Linked DNA regions of Caenorhabditis elegans. The protein of the gene in region 3 purifies or fractionates together with the protein of the main gene of each other region. This does not show direct contact. Each region holds a gene or a part of one and is shown on either strand. Other genes may lie near its edges. The genes, in order: klc-2, unc-14 and unc-33.

What was found.
Region 1: the proteins of unc-33 (region 3) and klc-2 purify together in Caenorhabditis elegans (affinity purification with western blotting, with the first as the bait; one study listed by BioGRID). This does not show direct contact.
Region 2: the proteins of unc-33 (region 3) and unc-14 purify together in Caenorhabditis elegans (affinity purification with western blotting, with the first as the bait; one study listed by BioGRID). This does not show direct contact.

The regions. Positions count from the first base shown.
Region 1 is NC_003283.11:5,576,124-5,581,263, reverse strand, and holds klc-2 (Kinesin light chain), read left to right. Parts: upstream 1-1,759; coding exon 1,760-1,877; intron 1,878-1,929; coding exon 1,930-2,246; intron 2,247-2,297; coding exon 2,298-3,217; intron 3,218-3,267; coding exon 3,268-3,376; intron 3,377-4,002; coding exon 4,003-4,161; 3' UTR 4,162-4,527; downstream 4,528-5,140. UniProt on the Caenorhabditis elegans protein: Kinesin is a microtubule-associated force-producing protein that may play a role in organelle transport. The light chain may function in coupling of cargo to the heavy chain or in the modulation of its ATPase activity.
Region 2 is NC_003279.8:7,122,178-7,130,292, forward strand, and holds unc-14 (RUN domain-containing protein), read right to left. Parts: upstream 6,070-8,115; 5' UTR 5,961-6,069; coding exon 5,331-5,960; intron 4,409-5,330; coding exon 4,292-4,408; intron 3,749-4,291; coding exon 3,666-3,748; intron 2,972-3,665; coding exon 2,792-2,971; intron 2,606-2,791; coding exon 2,504-2,605; intron 2,372-2,503; coding exon 2,228-2,371; intron 2,076-2,227; coding exon 1,896-2,075; intron 1,850-1,895; coding exon 1,698-1,849; intron 1,603-1,697; coding exon 1,437-1,602; intron 1,127-1,436; coding exon 883-1,126; 3' UTR 437-882; downstream 1-436. Other genes in the region: K10D3.8 (uncharacterized protein), read right to left, coding at 1-17.
Region 3 is NC_003282.8:3,515,197-3,519,946, reverse strand, and holds the start of unc-33 (Protein unc-33), read right to left. Parts: upstream 3,062-4,750; coding exon 3,021-3,061; intron 2,970-3,020; coding exon 2,809-2,969; intron 2,755-2,808; coding exon 2,570-2,754; intron 2,508-2,569; coding exon 2,442-2,507; intron 1,873-2,441; coding exon 1,782-1,872; intron 1,673-1,781; coding exon 1,452-1,672; intron 492-1,451; coding exon 175-491; intron 1-174. UniProt on the Caenorhabditis elegans protein: During neurogenesis, plays an essential role in axonal guidance and outgrowth by regulating the polarization of both microtubule and actin cytoskeletons.

The DNA.
Region 1 (5,140 bases), on a different chromosome or scaffold from region 3:
GAGTGTTGAATCATTTTCTTATCACATGCATTACTCATCAAAAAATGTTTGAAAGTTATTTCCGCTAGGGCTGTAACAAAAAATGTACAGTACATTCTAAGCGGATACCCTAATTTTCAAAAAATTTCAATTTGCATCTACCGTAAAATAAAAATAAAAATCGAAATCTACTTTCCTAGTCCTCTAATTCAAAATTGCAAGATCTTATGACAAGTTTTCAGAAATAGTGAATATATGAATCAAAACTCTTTGCCCAAATTCTAATAATTCATGAGAAGTTTATGTTAATATGTTTTATTTTTTGGTTTTTATATTTTCTGAAATCCCACCTTTCTCTTGAGAAACAAAGCAATTTCGATACTTTTTTGCATATGAAGCTAAACAAATCCTAGATGTATTCTTCATAAAAACTCAGGTGTCCAAACATTGCAATTAACTATGAAAGGATGCATCTTTCCAATTGTTTCGCAATTCTTTCTCGCCTCCGTCTCTTGCTCTCTCATTTCCTCCATGTTGGACGGACGATCAATAGTTTCTATGTTGTCTCTAATATTTCTATGATCTCTCATCAGTGGCTGCGCACGTCTCGCTGTCTATTCGCCGACACGACGAGAGCGGGCTTTCGGTTAATACAACCAAACACTCTTTCCGAACAACGTTATGTTTTACTTGTCCACACTTTATTAGCATCTTTATGTTCAGAACCATTTCTTATGAGCTTTTGCAGGAGAGAAATTATTAGAAAGTTAAAATTTGGTTTCATTTCTGCTTATATTGCGAAATTTGTACCTATAGTGTTGCACATATTTAGCTTATCTTTGACATATTCCAAAAAGTTTCTCAGTTTTCTAAAAGTTTTTCCAAAATTGTTCTAGTGCAACTCAACCTAGCAAAATCAAAGAAATATATTAGTTCTACCACGAAATGCTATTGATTTTCAAAAATTATAGCGCATAGTGCAGCCTTGATTTTTTCAAATTAAAAATTTCAAAAACCGAGTAAATAAAAATTACAAATTTTTAAAAGAAAATATCAATCCACGATGATTTTTATTTTCTCTAAAACGTGTTGAACATTTGGAACATTTTTGCTTTATTTCAACTTATTTCAAAGCAACGTTTCGGTGTAAAATAAGTTTATCGTTATTTTGTGAAAATGTGGAATGTCATTTTAAAGGCACATGCGTATTTTCTCAGGGGGTCTCGCCACGATCTCCTGTATTTCAATAGCAAATGGCAGGGCTGTTATTTAAGACGCCCTCCTCAATCTTTGAGAGCTCATTTTGGCGTTTTTTTTAACTTCAGCCATAAAATTGAAACTGGATAATATTTACCTAAATAATAGATTTTCCAAATTCTTGCACCAAATAGATCTATGGTATAAAACTGTCAGGCTGATTTTCAAATTTTTGCATTTTTTAGAATTCCAAAGTGAGCAGTATTCATGGAAAAATATTTTTTGAATCTAGTTCTACGTTTTTGAGAGAATGCAAGATTTTAATTAATTTTTGTTGTGCCATACTTTGGCATTATTTACATTTAAAAGAAAAAAAGGGTTAATTTTTTCTGATAAATCTGAAATTAAAAAAAAAGACTATCGCAAAACTTATTGAACGACCTAATAGCTATGATCTACATAGATTCAACTGTTTTTACTCACTGAAAAAATTTTCTCGTTAGCTACCAACACTTCTCGAACTTCTTCCAATTACATTTAATAGATTTAAAATTTCAGGCGAAAAATCGAGTCGCTGGCGAAAATGTCAAACATGTCGCAGGACGACGTGACGACGGGCCTACGTACCGTTCAGCAGGGACTTGAAGCTCTTCGTGAGGAACACTCGACAATTTCGAATACTTTGGAGACTAGTGTCAAAGGTATGGCTTTTTTTACGACGAGTTGAACATTTACTAAAATTCAATCATTTAGGTGTGAAAGAAGATGAAGCTCCATTGCCGAAGCAGAAGCTTTCACAAATTAACGATAATTTGGATAAGTTGGTGTGCGGAGTTGATGAGACATCGTTGATGCTGATGGTATTCCAACTCACTCAAGGAATGGATGCTCAACATCAGAAATACCAAGCTCAACGGAGACGCTTGTGCCAGGAGAATGCGTGGCTTCGTGATGAGTTGAGTTCAACTCAAATCAAACTTCAACAGTCGGAGCAAATGGTTGCTCAATTGGAAGAGGAGAACAAGCATCTTAAGTATATGGCATCAATCAAACAATTTGATGATGGAACTGTAAGTTGAATTTTTCGAGGAGCATTCTTAACTTATTTTGTTTGTTTTCAGCAAAGTGATACTAAGACATCTGTCGATGTTGGACCACAACCAGTCACAAACGAAACTCTTCAAGAACTTGGTTTTGGACCAGAAGACGAAGAAGATATGAATGCTAGTCAATTCAACCAACCAACACCAGCCAACCAAATGGCGGCTTCTGCTAATGTTGGATACGAAATTCCAGCTCGTCTTCGCACACTTCACAACTTGGTCATTCAATACGCCTCCCAAGGTCGTTATGAAGTTGCAGTTCCATTGTGCAAGCAAGCTTTGGAAGATTTGGAGAAAACGAGTGGTCACGATCATCCAGATGTTGCCACAATGCTCAATATTTTGGCACTTGTCTACAGAGATCAGAACAAGTACAAAGAGGCTGCAAATCTTCTGAATGAGGCTCTCAGTATTCGTGAGAAATGTCTTGGAGAAAGTCATCCAGCTGTTGCCGCCACTCTCAACAATCTCGCAGTTTTGTTCGGAAAACGTGGAAAGTTCAAGGATGCTGAACCGCTTTGCAAGCGTGCTCTTGAAATTCGCGAGAAAGTTCTTGGAGATGATCATCCAGATGTGGCCAAGCAACTCAATAATCTTGCTCTTCTTTGCCAAAATCAAGGAAAGTATGAAGAAGTCGAGAAGTATTACAAGAGAGCTCTCGAAATCTACGAGAGCAAACTTGGACCTGATGACCCGAATGTGGCAAAGACCAAGAACAATTTGTCATCTGCTTACTTGAAACAAGGAAAATATAAGGAGGCTGAGGAGTTGTACAAGCAAATTCTCACCAGAGCTCATGAAAGAGAGTTCGGACAGATCAGTGGAGAGAATAAACCAATTTGGCAAATCGCTGAAGAACGAGAGGAGAACAAGCACAAGGGAGAAGGTGCAACTGCCAACGAACAAGCTGGATGGGCAAAAGCCGCCAAAGTTGATAGGTATTATGATTTTTATTAGAAAAAAATAAATTAAACAAAACTGATTCCAGTCCAACCGTCACAACAACTCTCAAGAACCTTGGAGCCCTTTACCGGCGACAAGGAAAATATGAAGCCGCCGAAACATTGGAAGATGTCGCCTTGAGAGCAAAGAAACAGGTATGTAATGATGTTTTTTCTGCATTCATGGCTTCTCTATCTAGCACGCTTTACTGCATTTAAAATACAAAAGTTCAGAAAAAAAATTTAGAAGTTAGATATTAATGTTGTAAAATGTTGTATGCGTCCCCGATACCCCAGTGACAAGAATTTGCTTCATATTTACATGTATTTTTGGAACTTAAAACATTGACAACAGTTGTTTCAAACCAGGGGAGTGCGTCAAATTTGCCGAATTTGCCGGTTGCCGAACTTGCCGGACACGGTAAATTTCGAAAATTGCCGCACACATCAAAAATTCGACAATAAAATTTTGACCAAAACTATGTTTCAAACTAACCCGAAAATTAGATGCTGCCTGAACAATGTCTTGCCAACTTTTGAACCAAAATTGGCAAATACTGAAATATTGCACAAATCTGAAGCTCATTCAAACGAATTGTTTTTTAAAATTAAAGTTTAAATTTAATACGAAGCATATTCTTGTCCTCCCCAAGCCCCCATCAATAACAATTCCAGTAACAAAAAAAAACACATAAAACGCTTATTTTTGTATTTTAGTGATAGTGATGTGCTTTAGAATTTGGTCACTCGTTTCCTCTTTTCAGTATTGTTTCCTCTTTCAGCATGAGCCATTACGAAGTGGAGCGATGGGCGGAATCGATGAAATGAGCCAGTCGATGATGGCTTCTACAATCGGTGGATCCAGAAACTCGATGACAACGAGCACATCTCAAACTGGATTGAAGAATAAACTAATGAATGCACTCGGATTCAACTCTTAAGAGCATCTCTTTGCAGCACTGACTGAAAACCGCTTATCGTTCTTGTATTAATAAGTGCTCGTTGATTCAAGTTCCAAATTCTGAAATTTTGTCTCAGATCTACGAAAACTTGCTTTTTTCTTCTTTCGTTGTGTTGTGCATGATTCTTTTTTTTTTGATTGATTTTTCTTTCTGCCCCATCCCCTCATTCACAAAATCTTGTTCATAAATAATAGGGTTGAATAATTGAATGTTTCCTTGTCCGCCCCCACCAACTTTTTGGTAAAGCTTTATATTGTCTGCTTCGAATTTTCTTTTCAAGCAAAAAAAAAAACATAATTATAACAAGCTGAAAAATCGTGTTGTTGTAAATAAAGGGTTTATTTTTGAATTCTGCTTGTTACAAGAAAAAGAAAACTTCAATTTCAGATGTCCGAATCTCGAAGAATGGAACGATCCGTTATGTATTGATTGTTGCTCGACATTGTACTCCGTCATCAAGCTTTACACTTCTTCGCAAAATTCCAAAAGTTTACAAGTTCTCATTTATTTATATGTATCAAGTTCTAATTAAACACTGCTTTTCTATTTTTGTTAGCTATTCGCATAATAACATTTTTTTTTAATTATAAAAATGTGAACCCGATTAAATTGGAAAAACGTTTCGAGAAAAATTATAATTGCAAAGATTCATGATATTTATTCAATAAGACTTGAAAAACATTTACCCTGATATTCAAAAAATTAACAAAAAACAACGGTCAAGTTGGTGATTATGGGAAGGGGTTTGTATTCTATGAAGAACACGGAGAGATTAACATGAGCGGTACCAAACCCTGGTACCAGGGCTTCCTGCTGGCAGGAAATTGTCAAATTGATAACCCATAATCTCCGGACCGAAGTGAAAACTTTAGTAGTCAACGTTGCTTATATACCCAACGATTAGCAAGCGACCGACGTTTCGAAAGAAATGACAACCAAACATTGGGCGGAATTTCGT
Region 2 (8,115 bases), on a different chromosome or scaffold from region 3:
AGAATTGTGAAATTCATATTAGATTTGGAAATTCAGTGTAAGAACTTCTTGCTTTTTACAATTTTCTCACCCCCTTTTATAGGATTTTCAAATGTTATTGTTATCTCGAAATAATTCGTTCTTATCACATCATTCGACATGAGACACTAATGGAAACTAGTTCAGATAAAAAAAAAACATCTTAAGATCAAAATGTTTTTGGTAAATATTTGTGAATTGTTGTAATTTGTGATTCGTTGAATTACTATTAATCATTAAATGTTACGCCCGGTGATCTTTGAAAATTATTGAAGGCTATATTGCAACGCCACTGAAATCCAAAAAGTGTAAAAAAAAAACCAAATTACAAAATTATTTGTATGTTTTTTCATTTTTAAGTTCATTTTCAAACATTTTAGATTATTTAATAACTTTTCCAAATTTAAAATTAATAATTAAATGCATTTTATTTATTGTTTATTTTCAAAAACAATACAAATCCGATTGGCTCTATTCCAAAATACAAATAAACATTTTCGTTTTTGTTATTGAATAATGTTTTGGCAAGCTGCAAAGAATCCAATAGTTGCCTCGATTTTAGCTGAAAAAGGAAGGAAATAAAGCAATTTTCTTCTATACGAAGATAGAAGGAGCAAAATTGGAGGAAACCGGAGGGAAAAGAGAGGCTATCTAATGACTTTTAAATTCAAAAAAATATTTGAAAGTTTTCAAACATTTTTCATGAATTCAGTTGAACATGAAAAAGAAATGAGTATCATTGAGGGAAAACGATGAATGCATGGGATGGGGGATCAAACTCGGTTGAATTGGGTGGCATGACTAGAATTATATGAAGCATCGGAAAAAAATTAAAGTTCAAGAAAAAAATAAAGTACAGAGTGTTCACTGGAAAAGAAGATGTTCAATCGGAATAACTCCATTGTTGATTTTTGAATGAGAAGTCGTTAAACGGACACATCGAGCAAGTCCTCCACGAGTTGATAGAACACTAACTTTTTCTCCGTCTGAGAGGGAGAAATTGGCAAGTGTGAAGTCACCCATTATAGATGCAACTCGAATACGAGATGTCGTTGAAGGTGATCGAGCTGATCGAGGTGTTGAAGTTGTTGAGCTGATACTGATGCGACTGAAAAATTGAAAAGTGGTTAAGAGTTGTCAAAGATCAAGAGAGCTTTTGATTGCATTTGTTGATTTTTTTAGAATCAAATCAATTGCCAAAAATAATTCAGAATATCTACCCAACACTCTTAAAAATGAGGCACAATTACAGCGAAAAAATTCACTGAAGAAATTTCAGAGCGAAATTTTTAGAGTGTGGTTGCTGAGCTTTGCTTAAAATTTTTTGATATCCTGGTCTAAATGCATATAAACTTTTAAATAAGACATGTCTCGTTTCGAAGTCTGCCAATTTTGCAATGAAAAAACAAACAAATTACCTTGTTGACAATGGTATCCTTGATCTTCTTGATGGAGCAGTTGATAATCTTGCTGGGAACGATGAACTCTTTGGAACTCTTGAGTCAGAAGCTATTCTGGATGCTCCGCCCCATTGTTGCATTGATTTGAACTGTTGGTGAACTGAATCACTGCGAGCTTCGATCACTAAAAATATCAATGTGCAAATTTCAAAAAGGGAACTATTGGGGCATTTTAGATATACATTCATTTAAGTTGTTGTTAATGAAAACTAGAATTACCTGGCAAAAGAGACAAACTGTCGACCATTCTCCAAAGAAGAGTTCTGTATTCAGAACTCGCAGAAAGAAGGAATGCATTTTCAGAATACAATGTTTTCAGCACCTTCTCTTTCAACACAATATAGCACAGCCAGCAGTCCAATGAGTTTTCTCTGTAACTCTTACTTGAACGATTATATTTCTATTTTCTCCGATTACCTGATAAGCTCCTCAAAGAAGATTTCAACTTTGACGTTGTCAGTCTTTGAACATTCTTCCAATTGTTTTACAATTGAATGAACATCTTTTGTAGCTGGGCCTTTTGAGGTAACCGTCTGAATCATTGTCCATGCCGATACATTTTCTTGAAGACCATCTTCAATTAAGCATCTCATGGCGCTGAAAATGTTGAAACATTTTAATTTGTATTAATAAGAGTCTATTTTGAGTATTTTTTATTGAACTGGACTATTTTTCCATTTTTTTTTACATTTTCAGGGTTTCTTTAAAGTTGCAGACCCTCATATTTAATATTAAAAAATATTTCTTACATGACAAGCAAATCACTTCCATCCCCTCTTGAAATTGCAGCAACGCCTTCAACAACATTCTCAACGAGTGTCCGCTTTGCTGCATAAATCGGCAATCCGACAATTGAGAGCTCTTTTGCGCGCAGTTGATGGCGAGTCGTTGAACTGAAATGAGAAATGAGATTTCGAAAGAAGGAAGAGAATGAAAAGAAGTGAATGTGCGCGGGTAAGTGATTGATGATGAGGGTCAAATGGAAGATTAAAGAGCATAATAGAGTCAGTGAAGAAGAAGCTTACGTTGTTGGTGCAAATGAGAAATTCGTATCCGTGGGTGTTGATGCGCAGTCACAAAGAACCGTCTTTGATTGGGCAGTTTGAGCCCAAACTGGTGGGTGTATCCTGAAAAAAATTGTTATGAATATTTTAAGACAGAAAACCATATTCTAACAAATAGTGAGATACACATTTATTACACAACATGTGTCTTGTATACTATTTTAACGATTGGTCATCAAACGTTTCGTCACCCTAAAGCAATTAGCCGTTAGCTTCTCAAATAGCTCATAAAAATCAAAAGATTCTTACCTCCTTCGTACTCGATAACACGTTCGACATGCTTCATTTGCTGATGCTGAAATACCAGAGATACGGCGATCAATGCAATTTGATACGATGTTTGTTGATGTTTGGGGTGCTGTTTTTGATGTACTTGATGTTAATAATTGGGTGTTGCTCTTGAAGAATGAACATGCTTCTGCGACGTGTCTGAAACATTACAATTAAGAAAATATTTTTAGTTTTGATGTGATTCTCAAAGCGTTAATAGTGTTTTGTTTAAAATGCCAAAAAACCTAAAACAAAGCTAAAAACCTCAAGTAGTTTCAAAACAATCAACGTCTTAAAGGTTTCAGCAATCCATATGATTGATTGAAAAAGCGAATCGTTGATCGGCTTGAAATTCTCATTTCGGAGGTAATTTAAACAAAGAAAAATTAGCCAAAACAGAAAAATCTATTTTTTCAATTAAAAAAAACATTATTTTCCATTCTCACTAGTTTCTTTCGTTTTTCTTTTGAGTTGTTTCAGGGTTATAGACTAGTTTGAGTATTTTAAAACTAAATCCACACTCACAATCTCCACCTTTAACCTTTTCCGATAGATTGACCAATTTTCAAAAAAGTCAATCACGTGCCCATTTCAGTTTTCTTCCCTCAATTTCCGTTCACCCCACAGAAAAAGTCCTTTCTTTTCCCAATCTTCCCTGCGCCATCTTTTCTCCGACTGGGTTAACGGGAAGAAAGAAAATGTGAAAAATCTCTGCGTCTCTTATTTTTCTCCAATGTTTCCCTTCAATAAAAGAGTGCCGGGGCGCGAAATAATCTTGAGATTAAGCCGGCGAAAAATGAAAAATGAGCGAGCGAAAGAAAAAAGGGAAAATCGAATGAAAAACGTGACTCACTTGGGCAGAAGAACAGATAGAGATTGCCAATCTTCAATGTGGCTCGGACCACTACAACCGAGTCCTGAGTCGGGAGAGTCTTCCTGAAAAAGAAAAGGATGAATAATTAATGGAAACAAATAATGTGAGAGTATTAGAGACTGAGAAATATCAGATTACGTGCCACAATGAGTTCATGGGGATAACTACTGTAGGAACAATTAAATTTATACTTATATTTAGTTAAAGCTGCGAATGGAAAACCATTTAAAAGTATTATATCGTGGTAAAACTTTTCGAAAAAATTAATCAGGCTTTTACATATCTAAAGTCAATTTTGGAATTTTTGACAACTTTTTAAAATTTTTACTAAAAATTTGGAAAGTTGAAAAAGGATACTTGGTTGACTATTATGCAAATATGTTTACTAAATCACCACTGAAGATTTTCTTGTTTAAAATTGCATGCACTTTGAGTTTTTATGATCTTACCTGCTTATTAAAACAGCATTAAAACAGCAATTAAAGCAGCTTATTGGAATAGGTATCCTATTTTAGCTGATAATCAGACTTCTGCACAATAGGGAAAACTTGTTCAATTTATCTCATGGTTAAGTTTATTTTTCAATGCTAAAAACAAGAACTTACTTGAAAGAAGAGCGGAAAATCATTGGTTGAAGTAATCGACGGTAGTGGCTCACATTTCTGCATTTTAATAATAGCATCACGGAACGAAGCGGTGAATGACTCGCAGAGAGATGGCATCTAAAAATTAATTTATTTAATTATAAAGTTTGAATGCATGTTCTAATTTCTCATGGTTACACTACTACTAAAAGACATTATCTAGACATGCGTCCGTATATGAAACATTAAAAAATAGAAACGAACGCAGTCAATCGATCAAATGAATGGGTATGATAAGTGCGGCGCGACGACTACAGCGGCGACGTTGACACAAAAAAGAAACCGATAACAATTTTGGTTGTCGCGGATTGGATTATGTAAGATTGATGTTTATTTCTTGCTTCTTCATTTGCATCCCGACGGGATACTTTCTGTTTTTTCTTTTAAAAATTATATTCTGTTAGGATCATTATCTCAAAAATAACATCGACCTACAAAATTGTTTTTAAATGGGAAGGAATGTGATGACCAACCGATGATACTATCTAAGTATTTGCAAATTTAGACTTTAGAATTTAGTTTTTGAAAAAAATGTGTTGACTAGAAAATAAACTAGCAATAAATACTTGTAGTCATTAACACAATGTTTTTATTTGTCAGTTGACAGCTATTCCCAAGATACATAGGTTTTGTATATTCTGTCAGACAGTATTTTTATTTATCAGTCTTGTCAGTATTGAACCACTTTAACAGTTTATATCCCGACGGCCAGATATAAACTGTTAAAGTAAACCGAAAAAGAGCAAGATTAGTAGGAGAAATACGGTGAATGTTGATGAAATTCAAATGTATCAAAATAAATTCTTTAAATTATTTTTTTGAAAAAATTGTTTATTTTCTTTACTGCGGAAAAAAGTGAAGATGATTTATTTTTTGGAAAAACTTAAAACGTTGCATCGAAAGAAAAAAGAACGCTCCGACCACCTCGATCTTTGCCGCAGAACACAATACAGACAAAATTTATCACCCGTCTCTTATCACTTACGAAAAAAAAACTGACCTCATGATGCATTGCCAGGAAGTCTAATTTCGGAGGCTTTTCATTATCAGACGATGTGATTGCCATTGAAGTTGGTGCTGTTACATTCTTTTCCAGAATATCCGCAAATGTTCGTTTCTGATTTTGTCCTCCAGATGAGCATCGTCTCGCTGAATCTCTTCTCCAACGATCTTTACGAATTATTTCTTCATTTGCCTCGCGAATTTCATTATCATTTACATCGACGAATCGAGTAGCATCTCCGGAAACAAAGTTGGCAATCAGTGAATTTGGACGATTTGGTGATCGAGCACTATCACTTCTTTTTACATTCCAAACATCTGGAGCACTGGCAGTACGTTCATCCAATGGTTCAGATGTCCGAATCCGACCCCAAGTTGTCAGATTATCATTTATACCTGATTGCCAATGTCCAGAGTCTGCGAATGCTAATTGAAAATCTTCTTTTTTCATTTGACATCTCTCTCGAAACTGTTGAGAGTCTAAAGAATCAGTTGATACAGAAGGATCAACTGATTCAAAGAGCATCGAATCTTCTCCACAAAAGTTGAGAGCAGCGATTCGAGCATCAATGTCATCGGGCCATTGATCCTCTTCAGGCATCATGTGCAGTTCGCACAGTTCCACCATTTTGGTGGAAGAATTGAGGGATGAAGCCCTTTGTAGACGTTCAGAATAACAGAAGCTGACTAGAAAAAGAAGAAATAAAGGGACGCGTCTCGCGCCGCCGCGTCGCCGTCGTTGTCGATCAATGAATCTGCGTCCCTGGCCTTTTGAAAAATGAGAGAACGAGAGAAAACGAGAGAAGCGTCAGCTGGCTATGCAATCCAAATTGTATCTCTCCGTCTCACTCTTCAATATACTCTTCTCGTTGTGTTTCGCAACGGAGAGATGTTGTCTGTGTCTCTGTGTAGCGCTGAAATGAGAGAAACACTCTTGAGAGTTGTATGCAAAGAATAGAAGACAGACGAACGAGAGTAGTTTGAGGGAAAGTGTTAGACGAGATGGCCGAGAAAATGTACTTGTGCATGAAAGATGATTGGCTCACATTTTTCAAGACAAAGAATCGTATTACTGTGATGGTGGACAACAAGTCGGAGAAATGAAAATTGAGGCAACTTGATACTATTGTCATACAGAATCTTAGAATCCACAAAACTTGGAGAATAAAAAAACATATAAGCCCATGAAATCATTTGAGATTGAATTATTTTTGCAAGGGCTGATTTTTGAAACATTTTCTAAAAAGTTTTCAAAAACATCTTGGTGCCAAAGTTGTATTTTTTTTGCATAAGAAAAGTTTGTGTTCAGAAAGTGACAAGAGTTTTTCCAGGAAAAAAAGTTTCCAAAAAACTTGAAAAACGGTTCCGGGAAATGTTTTAAACTCTGTTGTGGGCGTGTTCGTTCATGTTGTGATTTTTAATATTTTACGACCGTAACGTTGGTTTTCTTGAAAATGAACACTTTACGACAAAAAATCTAAATTTCATTGTTTTTAAAACTATAAAATAAAACTTTTCAGTGATTTCATTGTTAATGGGTTTGTAAAACATAATTGACTTCCATAGCTGAGAAGCCAAGATGACTTAGCCAAAATTTACTCCAAGAGTGCCAAAATTAAAACAACTCTGACATGTTTCATATTTTTTCAAAATTTTCAAACAGAGTTTTGGCAAAGTGCCATAGTTTGAAACAATTAGACATTTTTCAAAGATGAAACTGAAGTGACTGTTAATAAAACAATTTCAAAACGTTTTCAAGTCATTTGATAACTATTGAAATAATGTAGTCTAATGTTCTCTAGAGTAACTTGGAAAATGATTTGATACTGTAGTTCTTATATGTGGAATATACCTTTTCTCTTGTGGGGGGTCTTTAGGAATTTTCAGAAGATTGTCAGACTATTCTATAAAATCAAATGAGTCAAAGAGCATTCCACAATAATACCATTCCTTTGGGACAATAACCAAACGTATATCATTCATCTCAAAACTACAAACATCTCTTCCCATCTTTTTTTTGTCAAAATGGGACACTCGAGATGCTGCTGCTCTCTGTCTACTTGACACAACTGATATGAGAAAGAGAGTGCGAAAGAAAAAAGATCTATCGGTGTTTGTGTGACGTGGCAATTCATCATACTTCGTGGGTGAGAAATGATTGATTGGGACACAAGAAAATGGTAGAGGAAATTGAGAAAATGAGCTTAATTAAAATAGTGGGCAACGATGCAAACAAAATTTAAGTGATGAGAGACGGAGAAGAAGGATATGAGCAAAGAAATTTACATTCACAGAATGATTTGAAGTTTTTGTAGATTTCCAGTACGTTATTTTAAAGTTGTAAATTGTACATAGCAACTGTCGACTTGTAAAAATATTCAGATGATTTCCCAGTATTTAAATTTAATTTTTTTTCCAGGAAGTATCCAACAAAAAGCTAAATATTAGCAAATTTCGGTTTTAAAACAGTGGCTCTGTATCTATTTGCACAGGTTTTAACTGATGGAGTATTGCCAGTTGGGAAAATTATTGAAACCACTTATATGGTGAAAAAATGACCAAGTATTCTTTTTTCAAAGCTATGTAAAAACGCAAAAAAATATTGTATAATCTTGGTGTCGGAGTTGTAAATTTTTAGCTCAAGATTTCATAAGAACAGTTTTAGCTCGAAAAATTTTTGAACATTCTTTTTATTTCTTTAACATTGTCTACGAATTTTATATTTTAATTAACTTTTAATGATTTGCAATTCAACATTGGGGGACATCTAAAATGTAAGTATG
Region 3 (4,750 bases):
AGTTTCTGGGCTAAAAATGCAAAAAAACTTCATAAAAATTCACAAATTTTAGCTGAAAATCACAAAAATCTTACGAAAATTCACAATATCTGGACTAAAATTGCTCAAAATTCCGATTAAAGAGGTCAATTTTTGACCGAAAAATTCAATTTTCAACTCAAAAATCCGACTTACTGAATAATTCCATCTTCAATCAGAATATCAGCTACAAAAATCGCATCGTCATTGACAATTTGAGCATTTTTGACGAGCAAAATCGACATTTCACCGCCGCCTCCGTTGCCGTCGTCTCCACTATTCTTCTTCTCAGCAGCCGACTGCGCAGAGCTCTCACCGTCTGCCGTCTCTTCAATCGCCCCACTATTTCGTCGGTCTGTCGGCGTCTCTCCATTTCTTGTACTATCTCCGTCTTCGGAAGGATGACCCTTTTTGGAGGAAGAAGAGCCATTGTCGTCGTCGTCTTTTTCGTCCACTTTCGATTCGTATTGAGGCTGGAGAAAGTAAGAGATAAAGGATGAAGAAAAGAGAAGCTTTTTGCAATAAAATTGACAATTTTATAGGAATTTAAAGCTTTTTAGAGTAAAAATTGGGTAAAAACATAGAAAATTAACACTTTTATGTTTAAATTTTGCCATTTTCAAGCTAAAATTGCCTGAAAATTGCTATTTTTAGGGCTTTTAGAGAGAAAATTGGCTGAAAAAATTGGGGAAATTGGTTGAAAAAAATCACTCTTAAAGTTGTAAAAATAAGCTTTTTGCAATAAAAATTACCAGTTCTATAGTAAATTTTGAGCTTTTTTGGAGATTTTTCAGGCTAAAATCGCCTGAAATTTATAATTTGTATTAAAAGAGCTTTTTGCTGCAAAATACTGTACTTCTAGAGCTAATTTTCAAAATTGTGAAAAATTTGACTTTTCTTGTGTTAAAAACGTTATTTTAGAGCCAAATTATTGAAAATTGCCACGAAAAGTGGAAAATTACACTTTTTGCAAAAAAATTGACAGCTTTAGGAAATTTAGAGCTTTTTAGAGAAAAAAATTAACTAAAAATCGCTTGGAAAATTAACAAAAGTGCAATATAATTGGCAGTTGGAGCAAAAATTGCTCAATAATGTGGAAAAAAACTAGATTTTAATTTCTATTTTAGGAACAAATTGCCTGAAATCGGGGTTTTCTTTTAAAAAATCTGAAAATTCATTTAACCTATAATTGTCACTGAAATTTCTGAATTTCTCACCATTTTTCTATTTTTTTCTGCTCAAAATTTCGCGATTTTTCAAACAATTACAGTGAACATTAATTTTTTAATTGTTCTCCAGGTGACATCTGTTCAAACAATTCTCTCTCCCTCCGTCACAAACAAACAAAACGCCGCGAAAAACTTGCTAAACTATATCAAAAATTGATGGAAAGGACACAGAAAAATGGGAAAACTCGTGAATAAATCACGAACCTCTTCCATTTCTTGAGCTTCAGCCTCAGGCTCTTCCTCATCGTCAACGCCGGCGCCAATATCTGGACCGGGAAGCGATTCGGCGGGGTTGAAGCTTTTCGGGTAGCTTTGAGGATCTAAAACGTCTTCTTTCGCTTCTTGCCAATCCGAATCGAAGTCTGGCGTCGATTTTTCTCCGCGCAACACCTTTTCCGCCGGGCAGTTCGGGTCGGGGGGTAGTTCTGTAAAAAATTCTGCAATAAATACTTATTTTCTACATTTTTAATGGTTTTAAACACAGATTTGTGGCTTATAAACCACAAATTCTCTCGAAAAATCTGATTTTCTCACCAATATCCGTCATATCCATCTGTTCGAACCCTTCAAACCATTCTGGGCCAGGCTGAGAGAGTTTAGCATTGCTTACAACACGATCGGATGGCTGAAAATCAAAAAAATTGAAGAAAATTGCAGGAAAATCGGTTAGAAATTACAAAAATTGGGCTTTTAAATTTCAAAAAAATAACTAAAAAAAAACAAAACTCGTCGAGACCCACGTTTCGCAAAGTGATGTGTACCTTTAAAGTTACGGTAGTTGATAATGAAGGTTTAAGAGAGTTTTGCCTGGTTTTTGGTATATTTGACATAAAAAATTAATGAAAATTGGAATATAAAAATTATTTTAACATATAAAGTCAAGAAAACATTAGAAATAATGGCAAAAATCCTAAAAACTAAAGAAAAACAATTTTCGTGGCGAAACCTGGACTATATAAATTGTGATGCGCCTTCAAAGATTACTGTAGGACACGTTTGAATTTATTTTTCTATTTTATTTTATTTTTTCATTTTTTCTTCTTTCTTTCCGGGATGTTTTCGATTTATTCTAGAATTTTTTACTGTAAACACAAGTTTTTATCAAATTTTTCGTAAATCAACGTGGTTTTGCCCTGAACATTGCGACTTTTCGTATCCTGCGACATTAGAAGTTAGAAAAATTTTTAAACTCACCGCGTCGGCTGGGTTTTCTCGTTTTGATGGCGCTGGTGACGTGCTGCCTCCGCCACCAAATAGCTCCTAGAAAATTCGATTTTTCACCAAGTTTGCTAGAATTTTGATTTTTTAAACGGGAAACCCACCATCATTGCCGACGACATCTCGAGACCCTTGTTCTTGTGCCGCGCTGGAGCCGGAATCGCATCTTTAACCGGAATCGGAGAGGATTTTCCTTCGGATCGGGCCGACGTTGGCAGTGAGGACACACTCGTCTTTTTAACAATTGCCGAGCTTCGGCTGTTCGGACGGCTCCCTAGCTTATTCACTCCTAAATTGGGCAAAAACTTCGCTTAAAATTACGGGAAAACGTGACTAATCTAACCTTCACTACTCCTACTTTTATTAGAAACAGTCTCCAGGTCATCCAGATTCCTGAGCGTTGGAATTACAGATTTCTCGGTGCCAGTGCTCGATGGAGCTCTAGAATATGGAGAATCTGCTAGAAATGTGATTTCTACGTAGTACTTTGTGCCTTGTTGCTCTCTAAAATTGGATTTAATTGGAAAAAAAAACCACGGAAAACGCAAAACTTACACATGATTTGCTGATCGAATTGGTGCTAAAAACGGGAACATTTTCCAGTGATGTCCGCCAACTATTTGGCCCTCCTCTAGTGATAAATGTGTATTTTGCGCGCTTTCTGTAACGAAAAATTGGGTTTTTTCAATTATTTTTAGGTTAAAAAGAGGTAAAAATGAAGATTGGAGGAAAAAAGACGGGAAAATTTCAATTTTCGGATTAACTATGGTAATTGCGGTGGTAAATCTTCTTTAGAAATTTGCAAAATGTGACTTTGGGGGAACTTTCGAGGGGAAAAAACAAAATTTCCAGTGGTTTTTCAGGGGTTTAATCAAATTTTAAAGAAAAATTCATAAATTTTGAAATTTTTCTACGGAAAAAATGGCTTTTTACACATATTTTATGTAAATTTAGCAATTTTTAGTGTGAATTCTCTCACGAGACTAAAAATCTTATTCCTGCAGGAAAAAATCTAAAAATACAACAAAAATATTGTATTTTCAAAAAATAATGTTTTAGTTTTTCTAATGTTTTTTTTCTTAGAAAATCGATTTTTTTGCAAATCGAAAGAAAAAAATCTTCAAAAACCCAAAAAATGCTCCAAAATTGAAAAAAAACTAAATTTCACATCAAAAAACAGAGAAAATTGTTTGTATTTAAAAAATAAGAAAGCTGTAGAAATTTCTAAAATTTTCACGAATTTTTTCCAGTGAATTTCCAAAATTGAGATCAATTTTCTGGCTGCTTTCTAGAGAAAATTGACAAAAAAAAGAAAAAATTCAGAAATTTTTGAAGAAAAATCCTAACTTTTCTTTAAATAAAAAACCTAAAAATAAAATTCTGAAATTTCCGAAAAAAGGAAAAAATCTGATTTTTTAGAGATGAAATTTCTTGCAACTCTCTGAAGAAAATTAAACAATCCAAAAAAGCTCATCAAGAAACAAAGAAAAGTTGTCCCATCCCCACAAAAAGGCACGAAATCGATGTGAGATGGCCCCGAAAGCGGCGGCGGAAAGCCTCCGGGGAGTGTTCTCTGTGTTTCTCTCCGTCTCCGGCTCTCTCTCTGACTCATTCTCTCTCCACGAATACCATGTCAGAGACGCAGAGGGGGGTCACTATTGGTTTCTCTGACGCTCTCTCGTCTCTCGCTTACAATGTGTCCGCCGGAGAGGTTTCCGCCCGATTTATCGATTTACAAGCATCCATCGGGGATCGCTTGGAGCTCTGAATTTTTCGAATTTCCCGCATCTTTTTCCGATTGGATTTTTTTAGTTTAAAACCGCCCGCGGTCAACTGGTATTGCTGTGTTTATATTGAAAAAGAACACAATAATTTGTTTATTTCGCAACACACACCGGGTGGTGTGTCGGTATTTCAAACAATGATTCATCAAGAAAGGAAATAATCATAAGATGACAGTCTCCGTTTTTTCTGCTGATTTTTTGAGAAAAATCAGCAAAAAATTGAGATTCTCATTGCTTTTTTCTCGGAGATTTTGCACTAATATTCATCGAAATTCCGGATTTCGCGGATTTTTCATGAAAAATTTAGAAAATCCTTATGTACAGTAGTAGTGCTTCCGCCATTTTCTGCTATTTTTGGTGAATTTGTCCCGAAATTTGAGTTTTTAGCTGATTTTTCACGAAAATCTAGAAAATTCTAGAGGCTTCGATTTTTCCACCGATGCTCCATTACTCATACTCCGTTCTTTGTTGATTTTTTTTGAGAAAATCAGCAAAAAACTG